Regions from separate parts of the Mus musculus genome. Here regions 2 and 3 are each reported to be linked to region 1. The links are microRNA targets in miRTarBase. Many come from high-throughput screens and were not tested one by one. Region 1 holds a microRNA gene; each other region holds the end of a gene's coding sequence.

Region 1 (4,543 bases):
GGAATCTGTCCTGTGACCTGACCAGAGGGCAGAGTATCCTGAGTAGCCTGTCCGGAATGCTCAGAGCAGATGGAGTCCTGTGACTATGTGACGTAGCAGCATTTCCTTAATGATCCCACGTGGAAAATCACCTTCATCAGCTCTGCTGCCTGAGCCCCCTGACGGCATAGCCCCAAAGTGCCACCCCACATTGGGCTGGCCTTGTCTCTGAAGCTACCTGTGCCTCGCTCTCCAGAGCACCATGTGTAACAGTGCTATAGAGTTCTACTTACACTGGCTTGTGGCCCTCCCCTCATCCCTGGGCTGCTTCAAGTGACAAGGGTGATAGATGGGGTCTTCCTAGACACATCTCCTTTTCTTTGTTGTAATATTTTCCTGTATCGGGTCATCAGTGAATGAGCTACCAGATGACACATGGTTAAATACTCAGTTTGGATAGTGTGGCTTAATATCGTCACTGAAAAGTGATCTGCACACAGAAAAGTGCACAGGCAATGAGCCATGGATCCAAATTGCAGCAGACAGCACCAGGAGGGTGATGGGACCAACTGCAGCCCCTCCTCAGACTTCACTCAGGGGCTTTTGCTTTGTGGTGCACTTATAAATGCCTTCCCGCCTTCCGTATGCTCAGCATCATTCTTTCTGCTCTGTGTTGTATGCACACCTTAGGCAATAGCTTCTCTTGTTCAGCCCTGGGAAGTTGAGATGTGTTCTTTTCTGAAGTCTAGAAAGCCTTGGCTAGGTTTCAGGTGCAGTACATGTTGCTCAGTGAACAACATGGGTTGTGGGAAGTAGAGCTGGATATAGGTACCTGTGGCCTCCGAGGTGCAGGTATGTCTGTGATGATCCTGCAGAGTTGACTGGAGCTGACCTTAAGGACTGCATCAGCAACAACAGCCTGAGCAGCAATGCCAGCCTCCCCAGTGTGCAGAGCTGCCGGCGCCTACGAGAGAGGAGAGTTGCAAGCTGGGCAGTGTCATTTGAGCGTCTCCTTCAGGATCCTGTTGGTGTTCGCTACTTCTCTGTGAGTAAGGGGGACTGCTGTGGGGTGGCAGCACTTTGAGCCCGGGTGCTTGAGCTCACGGGGCCATCTCAGACCTCAGAGCCTGGGCATCACCTTGTTAGAGGTGTGGTCGTCCAGCACCTGCTCCAAGCTCAAGGATGGGGTAGGTAGCGTGTACACTTGTAGGGGCTGGCAGTTCTGTTTTCCCTTCCTGGCCTGCCTCCTGCCCTGGAGTTCCCTGCCGGCACACTTCCCTCTCACTCTCTCGATGTCTGTGCAGCAAGGAACATCAGAGTGTCTTGGCTCTGTGTGTTTGTTTTTTTTGTTTGTTTTGAGACTGGATTTCACTATGTTAGTCAGTCTGGTTTGGAACTCATAATCCCCCTGCCTTATCCTTCTGAGTACTAGGATTACAGTTGTATGACATCATCCTAGCTGGAGCTTCTTCAAAATTCTTGGAAATGCATGCTGACAAATACAGCTCTTAAGGATCCAGAAGTAGGGATGGAGCTGTGAAAGAGTGATTACGAGCAGCACGTGATAATAGTGTCAGTGATATGATGTCATATTTTATATGCTAACCAGAGACTAAAAATATATTTCTTTAAAAAAAAAAAAAAAGATGACCAGCCCTTGAGAAAAGAGCTGTGAGGCAGATGGCCCGCCCACTCACGTGTGCTGCGCAGCCCCTATGCCTGCTTTCAAGGCCCCTGCGAGGCTCCTTTCCTGCCATGGTGTAGACAAAGAGGGCCGGGGATATGGGGCTCAGCTTCATAGAGGGGTTGTGGAGTGACAACTGCTCTCCTTCCTGTGTTCCCTCAGGATTTTCTACGTAAGGAATTCAGTGAAGAGAACATTTTATTCTGGCAGGCCTGTGAGTGCTTCAGTCATGTTCCTGCACATGACAAAAAAGAGGTAAACTGCTCTTCAGAGCAGGGGCTGTGTGAGGACCGAGGTTACATCAAGGGTTGCTTGAGCAGTCGATGAGGGATGCTTCTTACTGACTTTAAAGAACGGTGACATTTCTGCTTCAGCATAAAAACTTAAGTGTGTGACATTTAATTCTGCCTAAACATAGTCTGCATAAATGCCTCGCCACAGAGCCTGGCAGTGGTGGCACTTGACGTTGGGTTGGGTAAGAAGGAACAGTGTTTGAAGAGACTTGGAGAAGCACTCTGGCAAACTGCAGCCTCTACCTGTGGCTTAACAGCACCTGTCTAGCTGCCCCAGGACTGCCCAGGCCATGTCCTGTGGCCTTTCCCCCAAAGTAACAGCTGTCCTCACAGAGTGGCCTCATGCCTGTGTCTTGTGCTCTGAGCATTGTGCACTTTTGCCCTCCCCTGTCGTGCACACTTTGCTGGCAGATCCTCCTCTGAGGCCCTTACAAAGCAGCCATTTAGAAATTTGCAGCCATTTAGAAATTTGTAGAGGAGCCGATTCAGGAGTTTCCTCCTGGCTCTTTCTTTTATATTTACTTTCATAAGCCAGACTATAGACAGGGCCTGTGACTCAGCTCTCCAGCCCCGAAGCAGAGTCAGCCTTAGGAATGTTTGAGTGACACAGGTGGGAAGTGTGTGTCCAGTGGGTGTGTCTACAGATCTGCTCAGACCTTTCTACCTGTCAGCTCTCTTACAGGGCCCGGGAGATTTTCAGTAAATTCCTGTGCAGCAAAGCCACCACTCCTGTCAACATTGACAGCCAGGCCCAGCTGGCAGATGACATTCTCAATGCACCCCACCCTGACATGTTCAAGGAACAACAGCTCCAGGTGACTTTGCAGACAGTCTTCCATGGGGCTTCCAGCCAAGGCTTGGGGGTGCAGAGTCACTCAGAGTAGCACGTGCCCTTCTGGGAAGGGGGCTGCTGGTCATGTGGGCATGGTGACAAGCCCATCTGACCACTGGGCTCCAGTCTCAAAAGGATTCAGTAGATCTGAGGAACAATAAAGCCTTTGCCACAGATAGCCCCATGTACCCACTGTCAACCGAAGTAAGGGACAATATTACTTTTCAAAAGTCTATGGGGCTGGTGAGACTGCTCAGCAGATAAAGGCTCTTGCCGCCAAACCTGACAACCTGAGTTTGATCATTGGGACCCACATAGTGAAAGGAGAGAATCAACTTCTATAAGTTGTACTCTTTAGACACGGACCATGGTGGGTGTACAACACACACACACACACTCTCTCTCTCTCTCTCTCTCTCTCACTAAATAAGTAAATGAATAAATAAGTATAAAAAAATTGTATGCACATTGGACACACTTGACCTACAGAACATGACAGCTACAGCGTGGCCACAACAGCACATTATGGAAGGTCAGTGGTCTTTGATGATTGCAGGGCTGACTCTGAGCAAGTTCGGTGTCACTTCCAGCATTTGAGAGCGGATGATAACTGCATTATCCCAGCCCAGAGAAAGCTTTCTATGAGCACACGTCGCTGCCACACTAGTGTACATCCAGAATGCTGTGGACCTGTCTGTATACTTACATGTTTACGTGCTTAGTAGCAGTAGCAGCAATTGTCATTTGAGACAGGATCTCACTGTGTAATTTCACCACCATTGACATGAAGCTCACATACTCGTGCCTCAGCCTCTGCCGGATCACAGGATGCACATGGAACCCTGTTTACATGTTTGTGTCTTAATTCTGGAAGAGCATGTGATCTGACCCGTCCAGAACACACTTCCCAGCCCTGCCAGCTGCTGTGCCGCTAGGTTGCAGGAATTAGCTTAAAACAGAGCAGAGCTTCCCCAGGCCTCACTTACCCTTGAGACAACTGCCTTCCAAGTTCCTAGGAAGTGAAGGCCTGCTAAGGGTGCAGCCACAGTCTTGAGTCTGCCTGCCCTTCTGGCTGTGCCTATGCCTATGACTCTGCTCTTACTAAGAGTGACAAAGGAGAGGCTGTTGACAGGGATCAGAAGGGTCCCTGGAGAGTTAATTAACATCTGAGTGCCCTGGGGCCCAAGGGAGGGTTGGCAGGAATGACACCCTTCCAAAATGTCACTCATTCATGGGTACAGACCTCCTATACCGCCTAGGACCTAAGGAGTTACCGTTCTTTCTGTGACTATACTGCATGGCATCTGCTCCACAGATTTTCAACCTGATGAAGTTTGATAGCTACACTCGCTTTCTGAAATCCCAGCTGTACCAAGAATGCGTCCTGGCAGAGGTGGAGGGACGTACCCTCCCGGACTCTCAGCAGGTCCCCAGCAGCCCAGCTTCCAAGCACAGCATCAGCTCTGACCACTCCAATGTGTCCACACCAAAAAAGGTGCTGGGCTAGCCCTTGTGGGGGTGAGAGTAAGGCTGTAACCACACATCCTGTCACCAGCAGAAGGTGGGGCCTGTAGGACACAGATACTCCTGAACCCTTTCCTGATCCCCTAACCCCTGGCTACCTCGGTGGTGAAAGAGAGGACTGTGCCCTTGACCCACTGAAGATTCTACCTGATTCCTCAGAATCCTTACTCATAGAGCTCTGTGTTGAGCCCCTTTAGTGTCTTAACTGATGTTTCTATTTGGTGACAGTTA
Region 2 (4,000 bases), not on the chromosome of region 1:
TCTACCAACGGTGGATCTACCGCGTCGACCCCACCCGTGTGAACGAGTTCGGTATGAGTGGAGAGGATGTCTCAGCAGCGGCATCCAGGGCCCAGGCATCCACTGCAGCAGGGGCTCTCACACCTGCACCCAGCACAGCTGTCAGCGGAGAGGATGCCTCCACAGTCCCAAAGGCCACTTCTGGGGCCTGCACTGCCAGCCAGCCCCAGGAAGCCCCTCCAAAGCCAGCAGAGGACAAGAAAAAGGATTAGCCACTGCAGTCCTCCTTATCTGCTCCTGGTGACTGACCACCACCACCTCCCGGGCCCCTCCCTTACCCTCTCTGTCGCCCTCTTCCTGGACAGATCAGGCCGGGGCGGCAGGAGGCCCCCAGGGCCAGGGCCCGGTGTGTGAGATGGGGCCGGGCAGGTTGGGGCTGGCTGTGTGTATGTGGAGGCACCGTCCATCGTCTTGTCTATCCGTCTGTTCCTATGTGTTTGCAGACATCTCGCCCTGCCAGCCCAACACCATCGGGAATCATGGTGAAGCCAATATGGCGCCGAGGGTGGGCCAGGCGGGGAAGGGGCCAGGGCTCCTCTGTGGGACGCCTGTGGTCCTCCATCATCTTGTCCCTCATCCCCCGACCACCCTGCTCCCAGACCGCCACCCTTTAACACAGTCTGGATTTAATAAATTCATATGGGTGTTTAACTTAAGCTCAACCACCGCACCTCCTCTGCCTTCCTTGTCCGGACCATGCAGCTGGCTCAGGTCTTCAAGAGACCTGGAGGTGATGACGGAGTGGAATCTGGGGTTGTTCAGCATTTAACACCCTGGGTTAACCCTGTGCTGCATAAAACAGTGGTGTTGTATGCCTGTAAGTCAGAGCTAACTTAGATGGCAGAGGCTTGCAAGGTGGCTCAGTGGGTGAAGGTACTTGCCATGCAACCCTGATAACCTGGCTTTGCACTTCCATTGTGCTACAAGGCCACACAACCTAAGTTGATCACCAAACCACACAGAGGCAGGAGGGAAGCAACTATAGTGTTATCTGACCTCCACACACACACTGTAGCACACATACCCAAACAGGATAACTGCCCTGCAAGAGGTCTCCCAAAACAGTTCCATCTTAGACTCCTACAAGGCTGCTGGCTAAAAGCATCTGGTATTTGTGGCTAGCTGTGTGCCACCAGGCAGGACCTGAAACACTAAACACCACCAAGTCTGCCTGTGAATCAAGAGGCTACCCCCAAGAAGGACAAGCCCTATTTAACACTCCTCAATGGAGAAAACAGAATGGGGCCTGTATGCACTTATCTGGGCCACAGCAGAGTGAGTCCTTGGGTGTCATTGCAGTGTCCCTCAAGAGCCTAACTGTCCATACCAGGAGCAGGGCCTGCTTACCCTCTCTAGGAGAATGACAGCCATTGGGGGTACTCACTACACCTTCCCAGACTGTAGGATCAGCAGTGCTGCAAGGAGGCACTGGCCCAACCCCAGGTTGCTTCAGGCTCCACCTACTTCTCCCTGCTGAGTCAAGCAGGGATGGTGCCTCACAGGTAGGTATCATACCCACTCTCCTTGCTGGGCTCCCCTTCCACCTGCTGACCCAGTGCTCTCAGAAGACAGCTAATGTGATCCCCAGGGGGCTGCTGCATGTCCCCAGCCTTTGTCTCATGCTCTGCCACAGCCTCACCTCTAGCCCCAGTCTCTCAAGTCCTTTCTGGGACACAAGTACCTTCAGGATACAATTGGTGGTGTTCCCAGGCACCCCTTACCGCCTAGTCCTGAGGCTCTGCCCACTGGTACATCATGGCAAGGAGACTTCCTTCACTGGACCAAGACCTGTGAAAACATGACTGTATCCTAGCCACTCTGGTGCCATTTGCTTTCACGGACATCTGGACATATCCAGTGCCCTTATTGGGGTACTGGTGGATGGGTCTCTATTAACCCTTCGCAAGTCTGTCTGGGCAAACAGCACAAAACAGTTCTGTGTACACAGTAGGACCAGCATTCCATGGCAGTTCTGAGGAGCTCACAACTTAGCAGAATTCTAGGTAGTGTTGGGCACAGTGGTTATTCCCCATCCTTGATTTTGAGAGGTCAATCCAGATTTAAAAACTTTCAGCTAGCCTGGGCTACAAAACAAGACTTGGCATAGTGGCACACACTTGTAATCCTGGCACTTGGGAGGTGGAGGCAGAAGGGTCAGGACATCAAAGTCATCCTCACTGCTTTGAGTTGGGTCTGAGGGGCTGGAGAGATGGCTCCTCTGTTACAGGCTAGGCTCACAACCAGAAATAGAAGCTGGGTCTGAGGCCAGCCTGGGCTATTTAACACCTTGTTTGAAAGAATAAAAAATGGAAAACACCATGGATGCACCATGTACTGTCCCCAACTTTGAGAACAGTGTCCAGCATTGTTGCTGTGTGTGTGTGTGTGTGTGTGTGTGTGTGTTCACAACAGCTCTTTGAAGTTTGTGATATTCTGTACCTCCAGATGAGAAACTCAGTTGTTTTTTTTTTTCCCAGCTGGCCATGGGATCACACACATTTAATCATGGTACTCAGGAGTCAGAGGCCAGCCTGGTGTATGTACCCTAACAAGTATTTAGTAGTTTGAATAGTGCAGGTGCATGGAAGACCTGTGTCAAGAGTCAACTAGACTACCTCCTTAAGTCTTTAAAGCCATCCTGTTAAGAAACTCAAGTCCAGAGTGGTGAAATCAGTTGCCTGGAATTGCATAATTGTCCAGGAAACCTAGTATTTGAACACAGGATATTTGATTCAGGACCTTCCAATTACAACTCTCTTGAGAGAGATTGCTTGTCTTTTCATTCAGGGTCTTGCTATAAGTAGTCCAGACTGGCCTAGAACTCGTGGTGATTTCCTGCCTCAGACTTTCAAGTGTTTTAAGTTACTCGTGTGAGCTGTCATACCTGGCTCTCAGTTTTGCTTTTGAATTCACAGTCGTGTCTCAGATCCAGGCAATCAACACAGGTCCTCCAACATGCTAGGCAGGTGCTCTACCACTAAGCCACACCACCAGCCCAATTTTCCCCCTCTTCTCCCCCTTCTTTTTTGTTTTATTTTGTTGGTTTGCGTTGAGACAAGGGCCTGCTATGCAGTGGAACTCACTACTTGTCAGTGGATCTCCTGCCTCTGTCTGTCCAGAATGGGCATATTGTGGCTACAATATCTTTCTGTGTGCTGCTGAGAACACAGCCTAGAATCTCATACATGCTAGACAAGCATTCTATCACAAGCCACATCCTCAGCACTACAGTTGGAAAACCTCAAGGAAAGCAGTGATTGGTGTGTGTGTGTGTGTGACTGGCAAGCTTATTCTATGGGAGATGTCCACTCCTGGGCTTGCTTATGACACTGGAACATTTCCCTCTGGTACAAAGTGAAAAAGAATATGATTCAGTGTGAAAGTTACATGATATTCCCATTTCTATATTTATCAAATTATGTTCTAATAGAACATAGCCACATCCCTGTTTCTGGTCCTTGGCTGTTTATGTAAGATGGCACATTTGAAAATTAAGACCATTTGGTTCTCAAAGCCTGAGCCTAATGTCTTTCATTGCAAGAAAAGGTTTGCTCTAAGCTGGACGTGATGGTAGGTGCCTGGGATCCCCAGGACTCAGGCTGAAGCAGATGGATTATCATGAATTCAATGTCAACCAGAGCTACATAGCAAAACCAAAACAATGCTCTTTGCTTTGGTGTGCAACAGTAGATACCGGTGCCACATCATTCACTGCTGCAGTTTTCTGCCTCTGGAGCAAGAAGTGGGCCTGGTTTTAGTAATGCTGTACCCTAGTTTTCATTACAGGCTGCAGCATATGGCAAGTGCTTAATTATGCGTAGGTTGCTTGAATCATTGATCACACATGCTATGATAGAAGGGGAATGGAACATACAAGTTTCTATAGGTTTCTATAGGTTATAGGTGCCATATATCACCAACGGGCTGGGACTGTAGCTCAGTATTCATGAAGCCCTGGGTT
Region 3 (4,000 bases), not on the chromosome of region 1:
CCCTGTAATTTGTGGTTCCTCCTGGAATCCTTGTTCTTGAGCTTCTCCAAGTAAACTGAAGCATTTTTGGAGATGGGAAGGTCCAGCAGACATGTCTGAGCCAGCAGTGGGACACTTAACCTGGGCCTGCTACCAGACCCAACCTGGTTAAATAAGAAATGAGGCCACACAGGTCTCTTCCAGCTCACAACACAGAGCACATCTCAGCCACTTCATTACACTGGCTGGGAGGCTTGAAACGTGTGGCCAACAGCTAAGAGACCTTTTGCCCGCATAAAGAGCCCTCCAACACACGTGCCTAAGCAAGAGCGTTTGGCTTGTTGTTCTTTGCCACTCTTAGTTCTCTGATAGACTTACTTCTGTTCTTGCTTGACTCTCATGTTACTTGTGTTTGATGACAGCCATCTAGAGGATTCCTGTTCCCTTAAAAGGCCTCACTAGTTCCTTTTAGCTTCCAGTGTCAAGAGGGACCCACAGTGCTCTCTAGTGGTAGGTAAGTGCTCTACAGTCTTGGGCAGCATTCTAGGGCTTTAACTTCTTATATAGACTGGGTATGTTTAGAGAGTTGCACTAGGACACCTGTTCAGAAGGAATTCCTACCTTCTTGTGGCCATCTGAGGGACAGCCATGAGACATGCTTGAGGACTGGGCTGGGTGAGTGAGTTGGAGAAGGGAAGTAGCCAAGGTGACAAGGCCAACCGTTCTGTGCCCAGGGCCATTTCTGCCTTCAGGAGAAGTCGGTCCTTCTGCATCAGTCTTGGTGGTTTGCTGTATCACCTGACTGCTGGACCACTTTCCTTCCCAGGTCCTTCTCCCCCTCCACATGCAACGGATGGAATTCCCCAGGTTTCCATCCTTAGCTACAGTCTGTCCAGATGATCAGAGTCACTCTCCTGCTGCAGTTTCCACCTGTGTCCTTAGCTTCATGTGCCTCGCCTCTCCTTAGCTCCTCGGGTTCTAATGCTCAGCCACGTCTCCTCTGCAACCCACCCTCCAATCACACTCTGCTCCTTCTTTGGAACTTCCATTTTATATAACAGGCTCCATACGCCACAGACCCGGGGCTTCAGCCTGCCTTTGTCTTATCTCTCACCTTCCAAATCCATCCCATCGTCAGTCCTATGGATACTCACTTTAAGTTTATTCAAATTTTTCCTGCTCCAGTAAGGTCCATCAAATATACCAAATAGGGTGTTGGTAATTTTTTTAATGGTCATATACGAGGAAGTATTGAAGGCTGCCACTCAGCTCCATGAAGATCCTTAAAGCAGAGGGGGAAAGAACAGGAGCTGACCACCACAATGGACTGTTTCTGAAAGTCCCCTCTCCCTAAATCCTGATAGATGGGAAATGTAACTGTCACTTGGCACAGATGTGTGTGAATTTCAAGCTTAAAAGCTCTGTAACATTCTGGCTTGGGGTCACAGGTCAGCTCCCGATCACTGTTCTGTATCCCAGATCAATCAATAGATGCTTGATTACAATAAGTTTTTTGTTGTGGCCATAGACCTGGTATTTGAGTTGTGTTGGATCTAAGCAGACTTTGCCGTAACTCTTCTCTTCAAAGCAGAGGCTAATAAACAGTCAGCATTACTGTCAAGAAAGTGCTGACCCCCCTTCCCCTCCAGGACAAGGGAGCAAAGGAAACAATGTCTGAAAACCTTACATCCTGGTGAGGATTAATGTTGCCAGCTTGACAGGCGTTGTAGCCACCTAGGAGATGAGGTACATCTGTGAGGCCTTATGTGCCTCTGGGTGTGTCTGTGAGGGGTTATTTTGATTCATTTAATTAAAGTGGGAGCCCCAATCTCTAAGTGAGAGCATCATCCTCCGGGCTGGGTGGGTCCTGGATTGAGTAGAGAAGGGCTGAGCTTGAACTGATTCTTCTGTTCCCATCTTCCATATGCTCTACGTGTCAGGAAATCACTCCTTTCCTTTCCTTTCCTTTCCTTTCCTTTCCTTTCCTTTCCTTTCCTTTCCCCTCCCCTCCTCTCCTCTCCTCTCCTCTCCTCTCCTCTCCTCTCCCCTCCTCTCCCCTCCTCTCCCCTCCTCTCCTCTCCTCTCGTCTCCCCTCCCCTCCCCTCCCCTCCCCTCCCCTCCCTTCCTCTTCTTTTTTTTTCTTTTCTTTTGTATTTTGTTTTTTTGAGACAGGTTTTCTCTGTATAGCCCTGGCTGTCCTGGAACTCACTTTGTACACCAGGTGGCCTCGAACTCAGAAATCCGCCTGCCTGTGTCTCCCAGGTGCTGGGATTAAAGGCGTGCACCACCACTGCCCAGCATTTCTTTCTTTTTTTTCCTATTGATTCTTTGCAGGTTTCTAGTTGTTTGTTCACACTTACGAATGAGGGTCTGAGTCTGTGACCACAGCTTCGTCAGGGCTGGGATGGTAGGTGTGAGGTGCCAACCTGGCTTCACCCCTTCTTCCTACACAGGCACAGTCCTAACGGACAAGGGCTCTCTCTACCTCTACCTTCATGGCCTCATTATGCTCCGTAACCTCCTGAGTCTCACCTCCAAATACTGTGTAAGTTAGTGGGTCTCAACCTTCCTAATGCCGCAACCCTTCAACACAGTATCTCATGCTGTGGTGACCCCCAACCATAAAATTATTTTTATTGCTACTTCATAACTATAACTTTGCTGCCTCTATGAATTGTAATGTAAATATCTGATGTGTCCGATGATTTTAGGTGACCCCTGAGAACCAAAGGGTTCTCGACCCACAGGGTGAGAACCACTGCCGTACATGACTTAAGCTTCTCTCCTACTAACTCATGATAGAGATTCAATTTCAACACAGGTCTTGATAAGGAACATCAAGGCCATAGCAATGGCTATGGGATTTTTATATGTGTCTTAAAAGTTTACCCAGTATCAATATATTTTATAATATCAATGGAATTTGGTAGTGACCGCACACTAAGCATTCTTGACCTCAGTGTCTTTCAATCAGCATGATAAAGGTTGGTTTACATTGTAAGTGACACGGTGGCGGGGGGGGGGGGGGGGGGGGGGGATCTTTGCTTTAAACTTTGAATGAAACTGGCCAAGGCTCAAGCCAAGGAGACACAGCACCATCTCTGCTAGAAGTTCTCATTTGAAAGAAGCTTATGGGTAGGACTATGCCTGGAGAACACACCTAAGGGGTAAGGAAGGCTGACGACAGTGACTCTGCCAGGTGATTGCCCTTTGCCCTGGAGGGGGGGGGGTCTCTGCAGACAAAGCTTGGTTGGATCATCTTGCCACAAGCACTAAGTGTGTGGCATTGAACAACACTTGGTCTCATGCTTACTTCTTGCACGAAAGCCGTCTCCTTTGGACACCTTTAGTTTATATCCATTTTAATATCAAGATAGTTTTCAAACGCACAGAGACACCAACAGCTTTATTTTTACTGTCTAGTATTCATGCACTTTGCCATTGTAAGTCAGCTGTGAACAAGGACATCGTGAGCGTGTACCACAGTGCTGGGTCAGTTGTGATGAGGACCACAACTACGAAGGACCTCAGAGCTGGGACACTCAGAGGCTCAAAGGCAAAGTTCAGACACACACACACACACACACACACACACACACACACAGAGAGAGAGAGAGAGAGAGAGAGAGAGAGAGAGAGAGAGACAGAGATAGAGAGAGACAGAGAGAGACAGAGAGACAGAGACAGAGTGCGAGCGAGCACAGGAGCTGAGCACATATCAGGTCAGGAGTTCATCTGCTAGGCACCCTTCTTTTGAGGTTTACTCTTGGAGGTAAAGAACAAAAGTCCTTTCTGAAAGAGAAGAGGTTGACAAGTGAGATTATTCTGGGAGTTTCTTCTCTTGTGAATATTGATGTTTCCCCCCTTTAGGAAACACCTGTATCTAGATATCAAGTTAGGTGTGGGAAGAGAAACGAGCTTCCCCAAACCACTCCCCTTTTAAGTTTCCCCTTAGTGATAAGGTAACTCTCCCCTTTACTTAGGCCTAAGGCCCAAGCTCTCCTTCCTCAGTCCCTTCCCC

What was found. Region 1 holds the annotated microRNA mmu-miR-3097-3p (CUCAGACCUUUCUACCUGUCAG, at 2,606-2,627, shown strand). A microRNA usually pairs through its seed, bases 2 to 8, with sites in the 3' UTR of a target mRNA and lowers its output. Matches are read on the target gene's strand: a 7mer-m8 pairs with bases 2 to 8, a 7mer-A1 pairs with bases 2 to 7 and ends in A, and an 8mer does both.
Region 2: the mRNA of Clptm1 is a reported target of mmu-miR-3097-3p. Seed matches in the 3' UTR shown: 7mer-m8 at 2,230-2,236 and 7mer-m8 at 2,296-2,302.
Region 3: the mRNA of Sp110 is a reported target of mmu-miR-3097-3p. Seed matches in the 3' UTR shown: 7mer-A1 at 3,542-3,548.

What each region holds. Positions count from the first base shown.
Region 1 is chr5:35,018,489-35,023,031 of GRCm38, forward strand. Mir3097 (microRNA 3097) reads left to right here and starts at 2,561; the gene lies at 2,561-2,627. Rgs12 (regulator of G-protein signaling 12) reads left to right here. Exons shown (of 17, transcript NM_173402.2): 5 at 855-1,024; 6 at 1,826-1,918; 7 at 2,628-2,771; 8 at 4,104-4,283; 9 at 4,541-4,543.
Region 2 is chr7:19,629,942-19,633,941 of GRCm38, reverse strand. Clptm1 (cleft lip and palate associated transmembrane protein 1) reads left to right here. Exons shown (of 14, transcript NM_019649.2): 14 at 1-2,362. The coding sequence ends at 251. Among named protein-coding and RNA genes, the nearest start is that of Relb, 2.5 kb to the right of the region's middle.
Region 3 is chr1:85,573,575-85,577,574 of GRCm38, forward strand. Sp110 (Sp110 nuclear body protein) reads right to left here. Exons shown (of 12, transcript NM_030194.1): 12 at 3,325-3,771. The coding sequence ends at 3,718. Among named protein-coding and RNA genes, the nearest start is that of Sp110, 23 kb to the right of the region's middle.